Canis lupus familiaris: one gene and its partners. The protein of the gene in region 1 purifies or fractionates together with the protein of each later gene. This does not show direct contact. Links are inferred from orthologs where the notes say so. Each region holds a gene or a part of one and is shown on either strand. Other genes may lie near its edges.

What was found.
Region 2: the proteins of IFT43 (region 1) and TULP3 purify together in Homo sapiens (affinity purification with mass spectrometry; 5 studies listed by BioGRID and IntAct, counting the BioPlex papers as one, with this or other methods). This does not show direct contact. The link is inferred for Canis lupus familiaris from reciprocal best matches to the Homo sapiens genes IFT43 and TULP3.
Region 3: the proteins of IFT43 (region 1) and WDR19 purify together in Homo sapiens (affinity purification with mass spectrometry; 3 studies listed by BioGRID and IntAct, counting the BioPlex papers as one, with this or other methods). This does not show direct contact. The link is inferred for Canis lupus familiaris from reciprocal best matches to the Homo sapiens genes IFT43 and WDR19.
Region 4: the proteins of IFT43 (region 1) and IFT140 purify together in Homo sapiens (affinity purification with mass spectrometry; 3 studies listed by BioGRID and IntAct, counting the BioPlex papers as one, with this or other methods). This does not show direct contact. The link is inferred for Canis lupus familiaris from reciprocal best matches to the Homo sapiens genes IFT43 and IFT140.

What each region holds. Positions count from the first base shown.
Region 1 is NC_049229.1:49,262,352-49,268,041, forward strand, and holds the start of IFT43 (intraflagellar transport protein 43 homolog), read left to right. Parts: upstream 1-2,221; 5' UTR 2,222-2,316; coding exon 2,317-2,370; intron 2,371-5,445; coding exon 5,446-5,535; intron 5,536-5,690. UniProt on the Homo sapiens protein: As a component of IFT complex A (IFT-A), a complex required for retrograde ciliary transport and entry into cilia of G protein-coupled receptors (GPCRs), it is involved in ciliogenesis.
Region 2 is NC_049248.1:4,214,150-4,219,328, reverse strand, and holds part of TULP3 (tubby-related protein 3), read right to left. Parts: intron 2,323-5,179; coding exon 2,210-2,322; intron 1,907-2,209; coding exon 1,792-1,906; intron 1-1,791. UniProt on the Homo sapiens protein: Negative regulator of the Shh signaling transduction pathway: recruited to primary cilia via association with the IFT complex A (IFT-A) and is required for recruitment of G protein-coupled receptor GPR161 to cilia, a promoter of PKA-dependent basal repression machinery in Shh signaling.
Region 3 is NC_049224.1:73,740,068-73,745,246, forward strand, and holds part of WDR19 (WD repeat-containing protein 19), read right to left. Parts: intron 4,599-5,179; coding exon 4,458-4,598; intron 4,378-4,457; coding exon 4,295-4,377; intron 3,845-4,294; coding exon 3,761-3,844; intron 2,559-3,760; coding exon 2,412-2,558; intron 1,873-2,411; coding exon 1,748-1,872; intron 1-1,747. UniProt on the Homo sapiens protein: As component of the IFT complex A (IFT-A), a complex required for retrograde ciliary transport and entry into cilia of G protein-coupled receptors (GPCRs), it is involved in cilia function and/or assembly.
Region 4 is NC_049227.1:39,775,083-39,780,261, reverse strand, and holds part of IFT140 (intraflagellar transport protein 140 homolog), read right to left. Parts: intron 4,428-5,179; coding exon 4,221-4,427; intron 3,956-4,220; coding exon 3,743-3,955; intron 3,663-3,742; coding exon 3,496-3,662; intron 2,448-3,495; coding exon 2,306-2,447; intron 1-2,305. UniProt on the Homo sapiens protein: Component of the IFT complex A (IFT-A), a complex required for retrograde ciliary transport and entry into cilia of G protein-coupled receptors (GPCRs).

The DNA of each region.
Region 1 (5,690 bases):
AGAAAGCCTAAAAGGGGCTTACCTAGACTCTAGAGCTGGTAGGTGTCAGCACAGAGTTGGACCTAGGAAATCTATTGCCAGAGACTAAACATTTTCCTACGCCATACTGTCTCTGAAATTCAGCCACCTTTTGAGAAAGAACTATTTTGACCTTCACTGTGTGCCAGGCACCGTTCTGGGCTCTGCGGATGCAGCAGTGAGTAAAACAAAATCCTTGCCCTTAAGAGAGTTTATGTGGCCAGGGGGAGAAAGGGTAGGGAAATGGCAATAAACCAAATAATTAAGTATTGTGATAAAAGGTAAGTGCACCGTGGAATATAAAGCAGGGAAGTAGAATAGGGAGTGCCCCAGTTGGGACTGTTGAAACTTAAAATAGGGTGTCAGAGGAGACTTTACTGAGGCCTTTAAGCAAACGCTTGCAAGACAGGAGGAAAATTGTTGAAGTTGTATCCTTCCCCACTCCACCTCTACCGAATCAGTTTCCAGGGATGGGGCCCTGGCACATGTATTTTTTAACAAACCTCACAGGTGATTCAGGTGCTCAGCAAGGTCTGGAAGCCACTGCTCTAGGGTTTCTTTCTGCTCAGTGAGTACCATGCACCTTTTGTTTTCCGGAAGTCAGGGAAGAAGTGGGAGTTAAGGTCTGAAAACTGCCAGCAAGGTGGTAGTAGTGTAGCTATGAGCTCACACAAGATGGAAAAATCCAAAGATTAATCCCTTCTTCCTCATCTGGTGCCAAGGAAGAAGAAAACTAAGGATTCATTGGAGCCAGTATTTCATTTATCTTGGGTTTTGGCAATGAACATTTCTTCAGATTAAAATCTAACCGGGTATTCTCAGTGAGAATCCGATCCTAGGGGAAATCCCTAAAAGCAATTACCAGGGAGGAGACTGAGGTCCAGAGAGGGCTTTGCCTGGCCACACAGGTAGTTATCAGCAGCGCCAGGAAGAGACCGTCAACTCTTGGGACATGCAAGCAGTGCTATTGCTGTTGCAAGGCTAGCACATAACCCTACCCAGTAAACATGTGGATGACCAATTAAATTGAGTAATTTAAGGGGTATTTAAGAAGCTTGTAATCCAGCCTTAGGGGCTGCTACTCCCACTTTCAAGTCCTTGCTTTTTAGCAGTGGTTATCTAGACCTCACCCACAGCATGATATTGGGGATATTGCTCACTTTCAGGCCCATGAGATCATCTTCTGGGGGCCCTAGCTGACCAGTACCAGGGACCTGGCCATTGGTGTTGACTTGGGGATCTTACATGGAGAGTCAGTGAAGACTCAACTCGCTTGCCCCATTAGGTTGGCAATTTGAAGGACACCTTCCTCTGCTGACCTAGGAGTATGGCAGGCACCCAGTAATATGTGCGGGAGAAAAATACTCTTATAAGATCTGATATCAAAAAGGCATCAAGCTCTGCTGCTTGGCACTCAGGTGATTTCCCTCAAGCCACCTCTTTGCACCTTACAGTCCTCAATTGCTGGATAGAAGTATCACTGATGCTCACTTTGTGGAGTTGTTGGAGGGATTACTTGACTTTTTTTTTTTAAGATTTTATTTATTTATGATATATATAGAGAGAGAGGCAGAGACACAGGCAGAGGGAGAAGCAGGCTCCATGCCGGGAGCCTGATGTGGGACTCCATCCCAGGTCTCCAGGGTCACGCCCTGGGCCAAAGGCAGGTGTTGAACCGCTGAGCCACCCAGGGATCCCTGGATTACTTGACTTTTGAATGTTATCACTTAGGTATTTGACGTCTTGGTTCAGCCTCTCTGTAAACTTCTTGAAGGCAGAGATGATGTATTTTGCATGTTCCGTTAGAAACTATTTATTTGCCCCTGACCACTCCCCCCTCCTGTGAGCCTGTTTTCTTATCTGTCTGATGGAGATAAGAGACTCACCTTGTTTTTCACATAAGGTTATTATACCCTTCCCGTGAGCTAATAAGTCTTAAAGTCCTTTATTCATAGCGAAAGGCTATATAAATAGAAGGGATCGATTTAATCACTACTGTTACTGGTAGTGCTTTGTTCTTAATTAACACCTATTTAGAAAGAGCTACAAATGCAGACAGTTCCTAAAGGCTAATATATTTCTTTTTCACTGTCCCCTAGGAGCGACCTTAGCGGAATTTAACAGAAGTCAGACAAGGCAGTTTAGGAGAGTTTTGGGTTTAAATTCAAAGGGGGCTGCACAGAATCCAGGAATAATGTCGCGGATCCTTTAAATATGGAGATAAAGGGGGCGGAGCCGTCGCCAGGGACGCGACCGGGCCGCCGGGTTTCCAGGAAATGACGTCAGGCGGCCGCGGAGATGGAGGACCTGCTGGACCTCGGCGGGGAGCGGCGTCGCGGCTCGACCACCTCCGTGAGGACCGCCTTGGGGGCCGGGGGCTAGGATTTGGCGGGTGGGGAGGAGCGCGCTGGCCGCCCGGCTTCCCGGAGGCGCCCCGGCCTGGCGTGGCCGCGGTGGCCGCAGCGGGCGGGCGGGCGCGGGGTGAGGCCCGGGAAGAGGCGGCGGCAGCTGCCCCGCCCCCGGGGCGCGGTGCGCTCGGCCGCCGCGGGCCTGGGGTTTGCTCTCTGCGAACTTCTCTAAAAGCAGCAAGACGGGACCTGCCCCTGCCGGCCTCTGAGCCTCCAGCAGGCTCCGCTCTTAGAGCCCCCGGTGCTAGCACACCTGGAAGGAGCGTCTGCGGGGCTGCCCGGGGGCGCCCCGGCCAGGGTCGCGCTTGCACCCACCCTAGGGCTTCCCCCTGACATTTCTCGTGCCCGAAGTTCATGTCAGAACCGCAGTGTTTTACGCGTGGAAGGCAGGCTGGCAGGCCGGCTGAAGGGCCTCTTGTTGCCCGCAGTTCCCACGGGGTGGGGGTGGGTGGGCGTGACCTTAGGTTTATGATTTATAACGTGGAGTGGTGGCCAGGTGCTGGGGGGCCTGGAGGTCAAATGGAGTGTGAAGCTGCTTACTGGGGTTAAAAAAAAAAAAAAAGTTAACATCGTGTGTCAACTACTCAAGTTTCAAATATTAAACGAACCCTCCCCAACCTCGGTTTCCTTATCTCTAGAATGGAGATGTTATCTACTTCAAAGTGCTTCGGTGAAGGTGAAATGGAGTAGTGTATGGGAGGCATTTAATACAGTGCCTGGCACGTGCTAGGTTCTTAGAAGTTAGCTGCTGTGGCTTCTGAGGCTGTGATTTACCCACTTATGTACATTGTCAGTAGATCATTGATGTAGCTTCAAGACCCAGGCTTAATGTTGTTGAGCTCCATTACCATCCCATCAAGCCTCTTTCTTTCTTTCTTTCTTTCTTTCTTTCTTTCTTTCTTTCTGTCTGTCTGTCTGTCTGTCTTTCTTTCTTTCTTTCTTTCTTTCTTTCTTTCTTTCATTTATTTATCAATGAGACACACACACACACACACACAGAGGCAGAGGGAGGAGCAGGCTCCATGGAGGGAGCCCAATGCAGGATTCGATCCTGGGACTCCAGGATCACACCCCAGGCCAAAGGCAGGCTCTAAACTGCCGAGCCACACGGGGATCCCCAGCATCAAGCCTTTCTTACCTTTAAAAATTTGTCAAGATCACAGTCCCTAGAAGATTGGGGCACACAGCAGGTTTTTACTTTCTGCTATGGAAGCTCTAAGTGCTTTTGAAGGGCCCTGGTAAACATCAGCCGTCTTCCAAGGTCCTGGAGGCAAGAATATAGTGTTCTAGGATAAAGCAGGTTGCTTGACTGACCAGTATCAGGTTACTGGGTCTTTCTGATATGTGAACTTGTTTTAGTCTCTGAGAATGTAGTTATGCATTCATGCTTTCAACAAATACTTACTGAGTTCTCACTGTGTATCAGGCACCGTGTTAGGTGCTGGAGCTATAGCAGTGAAAACAAAACAAAAAAAACCCCACAGGGGTACCTGGCTGGCTCAGTCTGGAGCATGCAACCCTTGATCTCAGGCCTCACGTTGGGTATATAAATCATTTAGAAAAAATAAAGTCTTAAACAGCAACAACAAGCAGCAAAGTCCTTGTCCTCGGAGGGCTTACAATCCAGCGGGGGAAGATGGACAATCAACAGACTCTACATTTACAATAGATGTACATTTAAGTATAGTAAAGTAGTTTTGCTACAGGTCATTCCTGTGGATTTAGGCAGGATCTTCAAAAAGCTTAAAACCTTAAAATACTTAACAGTTATTAGAGAAACCATCTGTAAACTGCATTTAGAGACAAGATCATTGAATTTTTGTTTTGACACAACTACACGTAGTATGCCATGTTCTGATACTAAATGTTCGGATAAAGGGGAAAGAGTGATAGCCAAACGGGCGGAATTATCTGCCTTGGGAAGAAAATGGGTGGCTGCTCAGAAAGATGGTTTCCGTCATCCCTGGAACCCAAATTATTGGTAAGAGTTGGAAAAGTAAGCAGTACATAGGGGTTTTTAGGCAACCCACGTGTAACCCCTCTCAGTGTATTGGTGCAGGCGGTTCTTAGAACATCTGAAAACTGAAACTCCAGCCTGAGATAGTGGAAAGAACTGAGGATCTGAAGGCAGAAGATTTTGCTCTTCAATTTACGTCTGCCACTTACCTGCCTTCTTGGGCCCTGCTTTCCACGTTTGTGAAATGGCCTCAGTCCTAGTCCCTGTGAGAATCCAGGGAAGCCACATCTAATGAGATCTAAAAGGGCTTATATTACTGCAGGTTTTAGAAAAGCCAACATATGAAAATAGAAATATTTCAGTATCCACTAGTCTGCCTAAGTAAAGTTTTCTTTCTGTGCTGGGAAGCATATTTGAGACACTGAGCCTCTACCCCAGGAAGGCTTTGGGAAACACCTGCAGATGGTTCATTTGATGACTCAGAATTTAAAGTGTTCTGATTTCGGAAGCTAATGTCTCAAAATTCTTGTAAGAGATTTCCTTTGCTATTTAGATGCACACGTCCAGTTAGTATATACATCAAAGCAAATGCTGTCTATATTTCTCTAGTACTAGTTGCCATGTATTTTAGGAATTCTTTCCCTGAAAAAGCCTTTTTAATAACAATTTCATGCCAAGCTGCAGCTTTGAAATGAGGCCTTTCTAGAATCCTGCATAGGAACGTGAGAGCCTTTACCACGTTCCCTGAGCTTTGGCATGAGATCTCTGTTCATTCTAAAGGAATGTCTGCGTGCATTTCTTTGGGTAGGAAATATCTATGGCAGTTAAAAGAGAAACGTGTGATCATTAATCCAGGAATTTTGTGTTTTCCTAGCAAATAGAAATGGTGTCAGGTGCTTTGTATTAAGTGTGTGGAGCATTTTTGAAAAATAGATTCAACTTATTCAAATCCCATCCTCCATGTCATCATAAATCCTGTCCTTGCTTACCTTCCCAGAATTCCCATCCTCATAGTGGCTCAAAGATGTTTAGGTCAGCAGTGCTCCTCATCTCTCCTTACAGGGGCCCAGGATGGGTCGCCGAGCTCAACAGGAATCAGCTCAAGTTGAGAATCACCTCAGTGGCAAGAACTCTTCAATTCTGACTGGAGAGGTGAGTATTTAAAAAAAAAAAAAAAAGTTTTCCAAGAGTTAGTAATTACTTAATGAGCAAGGATTTGATATTCCATATTTCTTCTCTATAATGCCAGCCCTTCCTCCCATCTTGATTTGGGAATTCCCTTCCTTGGCGTTTGTCCTATTAGCAAG
Region 2 (5,179 bases), on another chromosome or scaffold:
CCTGCTCAGAGAAAGTCTGCTTCTCCCTCTGCCCCTCGTCCCCTCTCATGCTCGCTCGCTCTCACTCTCTCAAATAAATAAATAAGATCTTTAAAAATAAGTAGTTTTTAAAAACTAAAAAAAAAAAAAAAAAGTCATTACATTGTACATCTGAAACTAATATGTCAATTATACCTTAATTAAAAAGAAAAAAAAAATGGCCAGCCCGGGTGGACCAGTAGTTTAGCGCCACATTCAGCCCAGGGCCTGATCCTGGAGACCTAGGATCAAGTCCCATGTCAGGCTCCCTGCCCGGAGCCTGCTTCTCCTTCTGCCTGTGTCTCTGCCACGCTCTCTCTCTCTCGCTCTGTGTCTCTCATTAATAAATAAAATCTTAAAAAAAAGAAACATGGGATGCCTGGGTGGCTCAGTACTTCAGTGTCTGCCTTTGGCTCTGCTTCTGTCTCTATCTCTCATGAATAAATAAAATCTGAAAAAAAAAAAAAAAAGGAAACAAACCTTAAAAAAAAACCTTAAACACCTGTCAGGCCAGGAAGACTATATATGAATAAAATAACACAGCAAATAGGTAGGTATATACGTTTGTGTTTGTACACCTATACATACATACACATACATATGTACATACATATGAAAGTTATACGTAATTGAAATATGTAATGGATTCTGAAGGTGGGAGAAAAAAATATACTATGTTACAAAATACTAAGTCAAATGCTTCTCAATCACATAGATAAAACCTCATGGGAAATGATGAGATTAATTCTAAATTAAGCAAAAGTTAAGACTTTGGAATCAAAGCAACAGCTAAGTCAGGTTATTTGATTCTTGCTTTCTTTTACTCAACAACACTTTGAGTGCCTACCTGCACTGGTCCCTCTGCTAGTGAGGATGTAGCAGAGAATAAGAGTTTGCAAATTGGTAGAGAAGGTTCATGTTGAACAAGCAGTAATAAGTATAATGTGTTAGTTACAAGAAGAAGCACAGGGTGCCATGGGGATGTGTACATAAGGTAGACTCTATCAATGGTCAGGAAAGACTTCTCCAATGGCATCAACTGATTAGATAAAGGACAAGGAAAGGGAAAGGAAGGCTCTTGGATGAAGAAAGATCACATGGTGCAGCAAAGGAATGACAGGGGGCTGTCATGGCTAGAACAGGGGAACAGGAGGGGGCCAGGACCACTAGAGGAGTCTGGGAGGAAAGGCTAACACATTAGGGCTTTATTCTGGATGCAATGGGTAGTCGTTAGAAGATTTGAAACAGGAAAACTACAGGATCTACTGAAGCTGTGTTTTAGGAAAACGAAAGAGCAGGTAAGAGAAGAAATGCGAAATCAGAGAAGGAGACAAACCGTAAGAGACTCTGAACTCTAGGAAGTAAACTAAGGATTGCTGGAGGCGAAGGGGTTGGGGGGATGGGGTAGCTGGGTGATGGGCATAAAGGAGGACGTGGTGGTGAAATGGGTGTTGTATGCAACTGATGAATAATAGAACTCTACCACTGAAACTAATGATACACTATATGTTAATTAATTGAATTTGAATATAAGAAAAATTTTTAAAGAAAAAAATAAAAAATAACCAAACTTGGCAATTCATAAATAATTAAAACTTGAATATACAGAGAAAAATGCAACCAGCAACAGAAGAGGAGGATTATAGAAATAGAAACAAGCTTCGGAAGGAAGATCATGAGCTCAGTGTTGGGTAAGTTTCAAGTGCCAGCAGGACACCCAGGAGATTAGGGAAAAGACTCAGAAAAAGAGTGCTTTACGAGAATGGCACATACGTAACAGATGGCTGCCAACTCCTGCCGGACATAGGCCTTTTCTACCAGGCCTTGGGCCTTGGTTGGGCTGACACCATGGTCATAAACTGTAAACTTGGTCCCCATGAGGTTGGATCTAGAATCGAGAGGACAAAGTTGCCATTAATGATCTATATTTTTTCTCCTACACAAATATAAATCTAGGACAGGTATGGAACAGAATGGAAGCCCTTCTGCCATTTTCCAAATATTCATCGCCACTGTTTCAAAGATCTCTCATTAACATAAGGAAGGGACGTAGATGCTCTGTGAACTTTTTTTTTTTTTTAAAGATTACAACATCATACATGCTCAGAGTAAAAAAAAATACAGATTGCTCTGAAACTACAGGAATAAAAGTATCAGAAAGAATAGGTCAGTGATACAAGGCTGCTCTCACCTGAGCTTGCCAATATAACTTTCCCCTTCACGAGATAAATCTGTTGGATCAGTGGAAATAAGGTAGTTAGAAGTTTTGCTCTTTTTCCGCTTTCTACCCGCAAGAAGAAATATCTGGAAAAAAGAAAAAATGCCAGTCAAAAATGTCAAGAGAACCACCACAGTCCGTCCTACCTATTTACTTGGCAAATGTTTAGCAAGTGCCTATCATGTACCAAGCAGTCAATCTTTTGATCTTTTGTTTTTTAACAGGCTTAATTCACCTTAATTTTTCTTGTATATAAACTTCATGATGGCAACAGCATCTGGTGTGGGTCATTACAAGATGGTCAGTGAATGCCTGATAGGGGGCCTTGGTGAAAAGAGTCTCTTCCCAGAGTTGAGATGAGACAGCTGTAGGTCTTGTAGATGGCATCAAAAGTGGCCTTGGCGAAGTTGCCCAGGGTGGCTCTGCAGCCCCTGGCCCACGTGTAGCAGCCCACATGATACCAGTGCCCCTGGGGGTGGGGATGTGGTGCACCAGCACAGAGCTGCAGTGTCCAGTCACCTCACAAGTGATGATGTGGAGCTTTCCAGTCTTGTTCTCCCAGAGACCTTGCTGCACTGGGACTAGAGATCTTGGCCAGAATGATGGTCTTGCAGAAGTCAGTGGCTACCTCGTTGGAGCATTAACACCCAGACGCATGTGTCTGTTGTAATTCCCAATGGCAACAAATGCCTTGAACCCAGTCTGCCTGCCAGCATGGGTCTGCTTTTGCACAGGTATGATCTTCAAAACCTCATCCTGGAAGAACGATCCCAGGAATACCTCAAAGATCACAGATTCCCTGATGGGCAGATGGAAAAGATAGATCTCCTCTGGGGACCTGAACTTTATGTCCTTGACAAGACAACCCAAATTGGAGAGAGGCACCCACTCCTCATTCTTAGTCTTGCTGTCATGAGCTCCTTGGCCTTGACGGCTGAAGCCATGTGGCCTCCCATCCCAGTGCTTCCTCTGGCACCAGTGTCATCTGCCACTAGGTGTTTTCTTGGAGAAGACCAATCTTTGGAACTTCAATTCTTTTTTTAATCCTTATAATGCTTCTCAGAATTCACTATCAGGGTTTCCCTACTATACAGCTTTTCAAAATTCACTTAGCTGGATTCTCCATATATACTAGACCCCCTTACCCACCAGAGGCTGTGTCCCAAGACCCTTGGGGATGCCTAAAACCACAGATAGTACTGAACACTATACAAACTATGTTTTTTTCTGCACATACCTGGGGCAAAGTTTAAATTATAAATAAGGCATAGCAAGAGATTAGCAACAACACTAATAGGACAATTCTAACAATATACTATAATGAAAGTTGTATGAATGCAGTCTTTCTCTCTCAAAATATCTCACTGTACCATACTCCCCTTCTTCTCATGCTGCTGTGAGATGGTAAAATGCCTATGTGATAAGATGAAGAGAGGGGGCATTTGGCTACTATTGACCTGCCCAACCTATGTCAGAAGGAGGACCATCTGCTTCCAGACAGCAGTGACTGTAGGTGACTGAAACTGCAGAAGGCAAAAAATTGGACCGGGTGGATGGGAGGGGACTACTGCAACTATGTGCAATCTTATCCCTAAAACCTCCAGTGGCTTTTTTTTTTCTTTTTTTTTTTTTTTTAATTTTTATTTATTTATGATAGTCACAGAGAGAGAGAGAGAGAGGCAGAGACATAGGCACAGGGAGAAGCAGGCTCCATGCACCGGGAGCCTGATGTGGGATTCGATCCCGGGTCTCCAGGATCGCGCCCTGGGCCAAAGGCAGGCGCCAAACCGCTGCGCCACCCAGGGATCCCTCCAGTGGCTTTTTCAAAAAAGCTTCATCCGAATTAGTGAGGAAGGGTCTTTCCAACTTCAGGAGACACAGGATGCTGACTACCCACTCTTCCCATTCTTTACCACAGCTGCTTTCTTCCTATTCCTTTTTGGATGTTGGTGTTTTAAACCCCTGTGGCTCCAGTGACATGAACACTGTCACACTTGTGTATCCTTCCCATACCCTACTGGACTTGGACAACAGGGAAGCAGGAGAATGGCAATAATTAAGAAAGGGACTGTGGAATCAAACAGATAGGGGTTTGACTCGGGTTCTGCCACTTAGCATGATTTGGGGCAGGTATGTCACTCCTCAAGCCCCAGCTACTCATCTCTAAAGCAGAGATAAGAAATCCTATCTTACAAGGTTGTGATTAGGATTGTAGAAGATTATATAGACACAAAGCACTAAGCACATGCCCAGTGCATCATAAACACTTAATAAATTAGAGGTTATAATAACGATATCAATCATCATCTCATTTCTATGCTCTTAAAATCATCAGCTTAGACCTGGTAGCAAAACAAAATACATTGTTCATTACCAAGTATTAAATTGCCTCAAATTGGTTGAAAGTAAATTAGAATTTCTAGAGTGAGGAATAAGACATTTAACTTGCATATCCTTCTATATTTCCAATTCCTTCTATTCACTAAAACTTGCTCTTTCTTCCAGCGTCATGTTCTACCGTAATTAAAATAAAAACCAGAGAGCCCACAGTAACACCCTCCCTCCACCAAAAAATAGGATAGAGGTGCAAATGATTACATTAAATTATTATTTTCCATTTTCTTATATTCTTTTTCTTTGGAGTAGAGTAGATTTTACCTGAGACTATGAGCTCTTTGAAGATAGAACACAGCAACTGGGAATTAATGAATACAGTCTGCTTCCAGCCAACTTGCTCCAATGCCAGTGTTATTCTCCTATCCTAAGACCTTTCAACAATCTATTCCCACAATATTCTTCCCTTCTATCTCAAGATCTGTCTTAAGAATCAATTCTCAGGACATCTGGGTGGCTCAGCAGTTGAGTGTCTGCTCAGGGTGTGATCCTGGAGTTCTGGGATCGAGTCCCACATCGGGCTCCCTACATGGAGCCTGCTTCTCCCTC
Region 3 (5,179 bases), on another chromosome or scaffold:
GGAACAATCAGGACCATAATCGCTATCATGATGTGCCTAGAGCTTCAGAACAGTCAGAAGTCAAACATAATACATACAAGTCTCCCTGTCTCAGCAATGCCTGGTTTAGACAACTGTCTATATTTATCACACAAGTAAGGAGATAATATTCAAGGAGCCCATAGATGCCATTTATAGATAATAACTGTTTTTCCTTTGGTTTGAAGCTTAAATATGTTAAGCACAGAAGAAGAATCTCAAATCTGCAGGAGTTCTGACTCATTGTTTACACTTACCCAGGGGAGTTGGAGGCCCATTACGATGCCAAGGTATAGTGACAGCCCTGGACTTCCAGCCCCAAGGCACACAGGGAGTTTATGAGAGAAGGGGGTAAAGAAAGGTGGAGAAAAAGGAACCATGTGTGTGATGCAGGATAAACCACATTCTTCGGAAATGGAAAAAACCTAAATGTGTTAGTCCTATGGTGATTTGTAGTGTTAAGACAGAAATGTCATCTGTCAAGTTAAACATTAATAATTCTAACGTTGCTTTTATCTCTATTTCCTTTTTTTCTTTAGCTTTTTATTTTCTCCAATTATCTGAATGGCTAAGATATTAGAAGATGCTTTCACCTGTTTGTCTGAAAGACTGAAATAAAAATTTTCTAATAAATTCTATCATCATTTCTTATGGTCATCTTGTGAATTTTTAAAACCAAATAACACAAGGGTGTCTGGGGGGATTCAGTCCATTGAGTGCCAGCTCTTGATTAGACCTCAGGTCTTGATCTCAGGGTCATGAGTTCAAGCCTCACACTGGACTCCACGCTGAGCGTGGAGCCAACTTAAAAAATAAATAAATAAATAAATAATAAACAAAAAGAAATTTTAAAAAACCCCAAATAACACAAAGGGACAAATATTTTGTGACTCCACTTATATGATGTACAATGAATAGTCAAATTTATAGAGACAAAGTAGAATAGTGGCTACTAGGGGTTGGTGGACAGGGAAGTGGGGAGGTGCTGTTTAATGAATACAGGGTTTTAGTTCAGGATGATGAAAAAGTTCTGGAGATGAGTGATGGTGATGGTTGTACAATAATGTGAATGTACGTAATATGACTGAACTGTACATGTAAAAATGGTTAAAATGGCACATTTATGTTATATACTTTTTCTACAATAAAAACAAAACAAAACACTACCACAAATAACATTATGTATGGCCCATAAAATGAGAATCTGAAAATTATTTCAGTAGTTTCTAAGAATAATTGCAAGCAAGGGAAGAAAACCTATTAGCATGTGTTCTCAGACTATAAAATTCTCTTTTGGACTTTCTTTTGGAAAACCACATCTTGTGTATATCACTCTTCATCAAAGAATAACCATATAATCTTAATTTGTAAGTCACTTTTAAAAATTCATGAAAATATTTCTTAGACAATTCTTTTGTGTTTTCTATCACCTTCATTTTGGAACTTTGTTTTACTACTGGTTGACAAACAGAATTTGGGAAATCTGGCCTCTTTTAGAGGTTACCCAAAAACCTTAATTTTTGAAAATGGTCTTATAATTCCATTTCACCTTTAAGACGGTAGGAATCTTGAAATCTAACAAGTAACATATAGATATGCATGTATCTACGTATAAATGGTGTGTGTGCGTGTGCTTATGGGCATGCCAATCTGATAATTAGATTCTAAGGGTCAAGTATTTCTAGGTCACAAATCTTTAGGAGAAATTTGGGAAAACAATGGTATTTACCAATAATGTCTGCATAGATTTCCATTTTGTTGTGCTGCTGAGCCAGTGTGAAAGCTTCATTATTACATTTAGACATAACGAGAAACTGGATGGCAGACCCGTAGTCACCCAACTGTAGGAAAAACCTAAAACAAAGTACTTTAATCACCTTGATTCATGTAAAATAAGTTTGTCATTTACAAAATCAAATCTTTTTGCAACTATGAGAAACCACTTAAAAATAAAAATTAGGGATCCCTGGGTGGCGCAGTGGTTTGGCGCCTGCCTTTGGCCCAGGGCGCGATCCTGGAGACCCGGGATCGAGTCCCACGTCGGGCTCCCTACATGGAGCCTGCTTCTCCCTCTGCCTGTGTCTCTGCCTCTCCCTCTCTCTCTGTGTGACTATCATGAATAAATAAATAAAATCTTAAAAAAAATAAATTAAAAAAATAAAAAATAAAAAAATAAAAATTAATCAAACTGCAGTTCTACACACTACATATGCTTATATTTGAAAAATGAACTCTTACACTCTACCAGAAACAGACTGAATTTAAACACTTAGACCTACCAAAAAAATGAAAAGGAATAAATATTCCCTTTGAATGTATTTATTTGATGAAGGGAAGGGGCACTTTCTTTTAAGGCTAGTTTTTGGAAGTCCAAAAATAATGCATTCTGTTACCTGGCTACCATTTTGGCGCCATCCAAAGACTGGGTCTCTCTGACAATACTGACAGCCTTTTCGGGATTGTTGAGGTGATCCAGATAGATGCGGATTACGCTGTTCCATTGTTTTGCATTCTCATAAGCCACAACAGCTTCTTTGTATCTATAAGAAATATTTGGTTCAGAAAAGCTTTCTTAACACTGCCACATTTGGGGGGAAAGTGTCAATAAATTGGACAGTTTTTTTTACTGATGGTGGTTGCTTATTTTTCTTGAAATATATATAAATGAAATATATATAAATATATAAAATGTGTTCTTTTTAGAGGTCTGATAAACTAACAGTAAAGTGTTAATATCAAATTGCTTTTTCTCGTCTAAACCGTATCATTTTTTACACTTTGCTTTTTTTCCTCACTGTGCTGTTGTTTTTTGAGTAGGAATGGAAATTTATTTTAAAGAAAATACAGACTATTTCACATTTATGGATACAGCTGAGGGTGACAGAGAAAATCTTTGCACGTTGACCTCTAGATGGAGCTCAAGACTTCTCTTCCAGACGAGCTCTCCAGCTCTTTCCCTTTTAACAAGATACTTAGTGTTATATCTGTTTCCTAAGGTTGCTTTTCTAAAAGTAGATGGTACTGACCTTTAAAAATCTTTTAATGTCTATTGCCAAATAATTTTCCAAAGGCTATAGAAATTATACTCCCATCAATCATGCATACAGAGTACTTTTTTTTTTTTCAGAGTATGTTTTGATGATTTGGTGATTAGTTTAAAATCTTCCATGATATTATAGGTTAAAAAATAACATACTGTCACTTTAGCTATTATTAGTGAGGTAGAACTTTTGTTGTTTGTATGAAAAGCAATTTCATAATTGTGTTTTCTACTCTGGGATTCCTTGACTTTGAATTTCTTATATCAAGTTGCAGGGAATCTTTGTATATTTAGGATATTAACTCTCCACTGCAATATCTTGACATTGTTTTGCAGCTCATACTGTGCAGTCATAGGTATGGAGTTCATATTTCTTCACTGCTCTTGTCTTCTGCATCTGTAAGTTATTCCTCTTAATAAAATGAGGATCACTTTGTTTTAATGCCATATTATATCAAAATATCAACTTTTAGTATTTAACTCTCAAAAGAGACAGTAGCCTCTATATCTGAACACACAAAGGATCAATTGAGGGATATAAGATATGGGAGAAACTGAACAGTCTGGCACTTCAGGCCTGGCAAAGGGTAAAGATGTTTTCTTCCTCCACTCTGCCTTTCGTAGAGGTACAAAGGTGGATGGTTAATTTATCAAACTTACACAGTGCTTTCAATTTGTATGAATTTGAGACAACGTACAAACCTTCCATCTGCTTCTTTTGCTTTGGCATACTGCAGGTGAATCTTTGGGGAAGCAACACGAGGCAGAAGCTCACCAACTTTTGCCCTAAAATGTAGGTTTAGGACAATAATGTCAGCACTATATTCACTCCCAAAGTAGCTCCTTACAATCAGATGTTTTTAGGATTCAAAACACAGTTCTCATGATCTTTAAAAAAAAAAATCTTGCTTCCTACGGATAAAAGCAGACATAACTGCTTTTCCTTATGACACCCACCCCTGTCCTCCTTCTCTGTGAGAAAATGAAGGTTAGTTCATTAGCTCTTCGAGGACAATAGGGCTATTTTCCCCAGTAATGTGTCTGATCAGGGATGTCCCCACACCAAACTGACAGGATGTACTGTTTTGTTTTGTTTTTTTTGGAAAGCAAACTATGAACTCCTCTAAGAAGAAGGAGAAAAAGAGAAGAGGGAACAGGATGTACAGGCAGGAGGGCAGACCACCAGGACCCATTCATTTCCACACCTGCTCAGAACAAACTGTAGCAAATTCTTACCAATTCTTACAGCGGATGTAAACAGAGGCTGCTTTGTCAAAATAGAGACCTTTTTCATACAGTTGGGCTGCTTCTGAAAATTGCTAAAGTAATATGAGATTATTAAAACACTGAATTTGTTACATATAAGATCGCAGGAATATTTATTCAGAGAAAAGTATACCTTCATATTCTCCAAGATAGCTCCACAGTCTCTTTTCAGGACCCTGCTGGGATGCTTCAGGGCCTGGTTAACTCCTCGGCGTATGTCTCCCATTCGTATGGACATCTGGGCCACTCCAGCCAGACACAGTTCATCATGTTCCTGGAATTATCAGGCAAATAACTAACAAATCAGACCCTGAGTTATACTAATGTATTTCAGCCAAACAATTACTTTCTCAAATGAGCCCAAATGTTACTTCCATTAATCCTTTCAGGCAAATCTCTCAAGATTATGAAATAACACTGAATTCTTTTTTTTTTTTTTCCTAAATCACCTGTTACAAAGTTATATATATATTCAGAAGTCTACATCTTTTCAAATACCATATAATTTCACTCATGTGGAATTTAAGAAACAAAACTGATGAACATAGGGGAAGGGAAGGAAAAATAAGATAAAAGCAGAGGGGGAGGTAAACCATAAAGACTCAACTCTAGGACAAACTGATGGTTCAGGAGGGGAGGTGGATGAGGTAACTGATGACAGGCATTAAGGAGGGCACTTGATATAATGAACACTTGGTGTTATATAGAACTGGATTCACTAAATTCTTCCTCTGAAACTAATAATACACTATATATTAACTAACATGAATTTATATAAAATAAAAAAAACTGAGGGTCACTGGAGGCAAGGGGGGTGGAGGGACGGGGTAATTGGATGATGGACATTAAGGAGGG
Region 4 (5,179 bases), on another chromosome or scaffold:
CCTGGTGAAAGGTAGGGACAGGAGCAGCATCAGAGTGGATACTGTCCAAGACTCATGAACTTGAAGCAAAAGCAAGGGCCAAATATAAAAATCAGAAAAAATTCTGGAAAATGAAAAGAGAAGAGAATCATTTGAGCCAAGACACAATCTACACAGATAATTGGAGTTCCATAGGGAGAGGACACAGAGAAAGAAGAGGACTTCCCACAGATGGACAGAAAACACTGGCAGGGCATCTGCCAGTCACGGAAAAGTACCTCGAATTCACAAGGGCCACAAGCAACGGAAGAAGACAAACCCTGCACAAAACAATGGGGGATGATTCGGACACTCAGAGGAGGAGATAAGCATATGACAAGGGGCTCAACGCTGCTAGTCTGGAGAGGGTACACTCAAGCCACATAGAGACTTCGCTCTGCACCCACTGGGACCGTGGGCATTAAAGGCCCATCATACCAAGTGTGGGCAGAGATGAGGGAGCACATCAGTGCAGTGTGAGCTCAACTCGTCCCTTCCGCGCGGGACACCATCTTTGGAAACGTGACTGAAGTTCAGGTGGTTTTACTCAGGCCTGGGTTTGTGGCAGATGTTTTCTCAGAAATGAACAAAGGCGGCCACCACTTCAAGGAAAATAGTAATGGGCCGTGTTTTCACTCAGGATAGAATGGGAGCTTTCACAAGAAGAATTTCAGAAACCTTAGGTATCAGCCACCAAGAGCTGGACATCCTCCCAAAACCTAAAGACTTTTCTGATGAGGTTGATGGTGATACCAGCAAACAGGATTTTTTGATTTCTATAATGAAACATGTTAACATTTGCTAATTTGGTGAAGCCATATTTTCCAGATGAACAACTTGCTGTTATAAAATGATGTGTGTGTAAAAGATTCAAGATGGACCAGCGAGCTGTAACGTAGGAGTATTACAACAACATCCCGACTTGGCAGCTGTTAAGAGGCCCCACTGGCTGAGTTTTGGTGTAGGCTCAAAAGTGGCCTGCGACTATCTGAGGGCCCGGCCTCTCTCACCTGCATACTGGTGTGAGGCTAGATTTTCTTCATGTATTTCAGCTAAAAAAAACCATTTGACCAAATTGAGAGCAGAAGCAGAAATGGAGAGTCCCTCCAGCTGTCCTCTAAGACATTACAGAGACCTGGAAACGTGCAAAACAGTGCTACTTTTCCTACTCGGTGTCCCAGTGCAAAGGGGTCCTGAGACCAAAATGTTTGGGCACCGCTGTGCTGAAATGAATCATCGAAATCCTTTAAAAGGGACAACCCGGGTGGCTCAACGGTTTAGCGCCGACTTCAGTCCAGGGCGTGATCCTGGAGACCCGGGATCGAGTCCCATGTCGGGCTCCCTGCATGGAGCCTGCTTCTCTCTCTGCCTGTGTCTCTGCCTCTCTCTCTCTCTCTGTGTATCTCTCATGAATAAATAAATAAAAATCTTAAAAAAAAAAAGAAAAAGAAAAAAGAAATCCTTCTACGAAGAAAGCTCCAGGCCCAGGTCAGCTCACTCATGCATTCTATCAAAACTGAAGAAAGAGGGATCCCTGGGTGGCGCAGCGGTTTGGCGCCTGCCTTTGGCCCAGGGCGCGATCCTGGAGATCCGGGATCGAATCCCACATCGGGCTCCCGGTGCATGGAGCCTGCTTCTCCCTCTGCCTGTGTCTCTGCCTCTCTCTCTCTCTCTGTGACTATCATAAATAAATAAATAAATAAAAAAAAAAAAAAAAAAAAAAACTGAAGAAAGAAATAAGAACAATCTTAGCTAAACTCAGAGAATACAGGAGGCAGGCACGCTCCCAAGCACACACCATAAGGCTATAATAACCTTGACACCAACAACGAAGGAGACTCTACAAGAGAGAAACTAGAGAAAAGTCTGTCAGTTTCAGAAAACGTGAAACACACTAGCCGTATGACCCCGCTGTCCCAGCCCTGGGTGTCCAACCAAGTGTTAGTGAACTAAGGGGGAAGGCAAGATGGCTGCAACTCACATATCGCTCAGAAAAAATACCCATTTTATATATAAAATAGAAATATGAAAGCATACATATAGAATAAGTGTGGCAAAATGTTAAAAAGTGCCGAATCTAGTAAAGGGTATATCTGGGTTCTATTATTCTTGAAACTTCTCAGTTTGAAATGATTTCAAAGTCCAACAGGAACAGGAGAAGCGCCTCCTCACCAAGAGCTCCCAGCTCCCTTGGGCTCAGAGAGTGGGGACGGCCGTGGGTGCAGCCTTCCCACAGTCACCCTGGAGCACCCTGAAGCCCTCAGGCAGCCAGAGGCTGCAGCCTCACCATGTGGAACTCCTCCCCCTGCAGGTAGTGCTGCACCAGGAAGCCATAGACGTCCCCCATGCGGATGGTGCCTTCCAGCTCTGGCTCCTCCAGGAGCAGCTCACACTGCTTCACCGCCTCCTTGGGGTCCTCGGGGTACATCCTGCCGAGAGCAGAGTCGGTGAAGCCCAAACCCAGAACACTGCTGTGCATCAAGGCTCAGAGTGGCCTTGTGGCCCAAATGAGCAGCTCGGGTTGGCGGGACCAAACTTTTGTAAAGTCAATTCCCGAGAATGCAATGAATTCATTAATGAGTTCATTCATAAACTCACTGATTCATTTAATAAAAACTTACTAATAAATCATAGTCCTTGTACCGCGCTAGACTCAGCTTGTCACCCCAGGCCCCGCCTGGTTACCAGTCTGGTGGGGGACACTGTGAGGCAGGGGGGACATGGGGCACCCTGCCCGAGGTGGTCAGGCACAGGGTGAACAGTCCTTGCCGCCCATCGGCCCCCTCCCCCGCCAGCCCTCCTGCAGCCCAGCTCAGCAGATTTTCCAGGACTTAAACCTCCAAGCAGGGAGCCCCACTTTATACAACAGAGTTCAATATAGTTTTGGATCTTTTCTTCCAAAAGCTTGTTCCCAGATAAGGAAAATGCTTTCATTGGTTTAGGCAGAAGCTGAGCTCTGCTGCCCACACAGCGGGCTATTGGAAAAGCTGAATGAGTTGCCAATAGATAAAAACTGGCCTCATGTCCAAATTTAGATGCATGGTCTCTCCTGAAATAGCAACACCGTGCTGCCCCCAGCCTCCTCCTTCCTGTGGCCCCAGGTGGCATAGTGGCCCACCTGCTTGAAACCACTGAGCTGGAGTCCCGCTCACACCTGAGCAGGTCCCGGGCTCCCCTCAGACATCCACTCTCTTGACCTGCATCTGCCTCACCGCTCCCACCCCAGACTTCGCTTTCTGGAACGGTCTTCCTGGCAGTGTGCCCAGGTTTGGGGGATTCCCCAGGAGGAGCTCAGCACAAAGGAGGCAACATCATGTCCGTGTGTCCTACTTAGGGTCCACGGGGCTCCTCTGCGGAAACGCTCACTAGAAGTGAAACCAGTCTGGTCCCCGGCAGGCGGAGGGGTCTGGGGGCTCCACGGGGCCCGAGGTGTAGCCCACTCTGTATCCCCGCTTCCTCGCTCTGCTGTGAACACACCTTCGGGCCTGGATGAACCTCTTCACCAGCGTCATCTTGCTCTGCAGCTGGGCCAGCTTGGTCTCCTGATCCAGGGGGCTCTGAGCCTTGGCCTTGGAGAGGCACTTGTGGGCCTCGGTCAGCGCCCCGTGGGCTTTGTCGTAGTTCTGGTACTCATCGATCTCCACCTACATGGAGAAGGCCGGTCAGGGCCCACAGGGCTCCACAACCCTCCCGGGGGTCCTGGCTCTGGGAGGAGGCTCTGTACCTGGGCACAGGCATCGTAGAAGCCGGCCAGAAGGTCTAGGGCGCGCCCCTTGGTGTAGAAGCTGATGATGTTCTTCATGATCTCCGGCTCCTTCTGCCAGTCCAGGGACTGCAGGTAGTTGGCAGCCATGATGTAGATTTCCTTTTGCCTCGAGACGCCTGCAAAGAACACGATTTTCTCCGTGTCCCCAGACTTCAGCAGTGCTCTCATGGCCTAGATGAGGAAGAGGAAGAGGGGGCTGGGCTCAGAGCCTGTGGTGAAGGTCCCCCAGCCCTCCCCCAAGGATCACACAGGATTTTACAAGAGGGAGCTCAGGGCTCCTCCGTGCACCGTGTCCTGGGAAGCCCTGGCTGGGGAAACTCATGCCCAAGAGCTGCACTCAGGTCAGATGGAAACCCAACCGTGGGGACACCGCTCCCAACTGGCGGTGGAAGCCACACGCTGGTTGACGTGACGGGCCGCCCGGGCCAGCGCTCACCTTCAGCTTGTTCCCTGCCTGCGTGTACTTCTTGGTCGCCAGGTGGTAGTTGCCTTGGCGCATGCAGCAGTTCGCAATCTGCTCCAGCAGCTGGCGCCGGGACTCTTCAGACAGGTCCTTGGAGTCCTTGGACACGGTCATCTTTTCGGCCATCTCCTCGGTGATGGTCATGTTCTGCTCCAGGCAAAGCCGCAGGGCTTCGTGATACTGCAGGGCGCCACAGAAGCCGGCAAGGGGCGGTTACCGCCGGGTGGCAGGGGAGGCCAGGCCCTCAGCCCAGTGGCAGCCCCTGCCTGCGGCCCGCCGTGCACGTGAAAGGGCAAGGATGGGATGCGCTCACCGGGCACAGGCCGACACTCAGCCATGTGATTCACACTCTTAACACCCTGAGATGCAATGAGGGGAACGTGGAGCTCAAAAGAATACTGTGTTGGTTGTGGGAGGAAAAGAAACCAGAAACCAATTTTCTCCTACACTGCTTTTCTATTTTTTAGGCTAAGGGTTTTGATTAATCTTCTTAAAAATGTAAGAGAAATTTTATGCCCTCCACTAAATAACATGTATTGGACAAAAAAAAAAAACAAAACAACACGTATATCCTGGAGGCAATCCCATCTCCGTATGTAAGAGGCTGCTTGGTGCTCCGCCACAGCGAGAGCAGGGACATCCCCAGTGGTCCTGCCCGCAGCAGAGAGCTGGTCCAGCCATCGAGTGTGTGTCACCCCACGCATGCAAATGTGCAGAAGACGGATCCCAAGGATGGGACGCGCCAAGTGGAGGGATGTCTAAGTTCTATGGAGACAGGCACTGCCTGTAGAGTCTGCTCCCACAACAGGCTGGCAGGTCTGCCAAGCTTTTCACCTTTATTGGCCTAATTTAGGGCAAATAGGACCTCTGTGAGTTTTGTTTTGTTTTTTTTTTTTTTTTCCTCTGTGAGTTTTGATCTGTAGTTCTCTTAC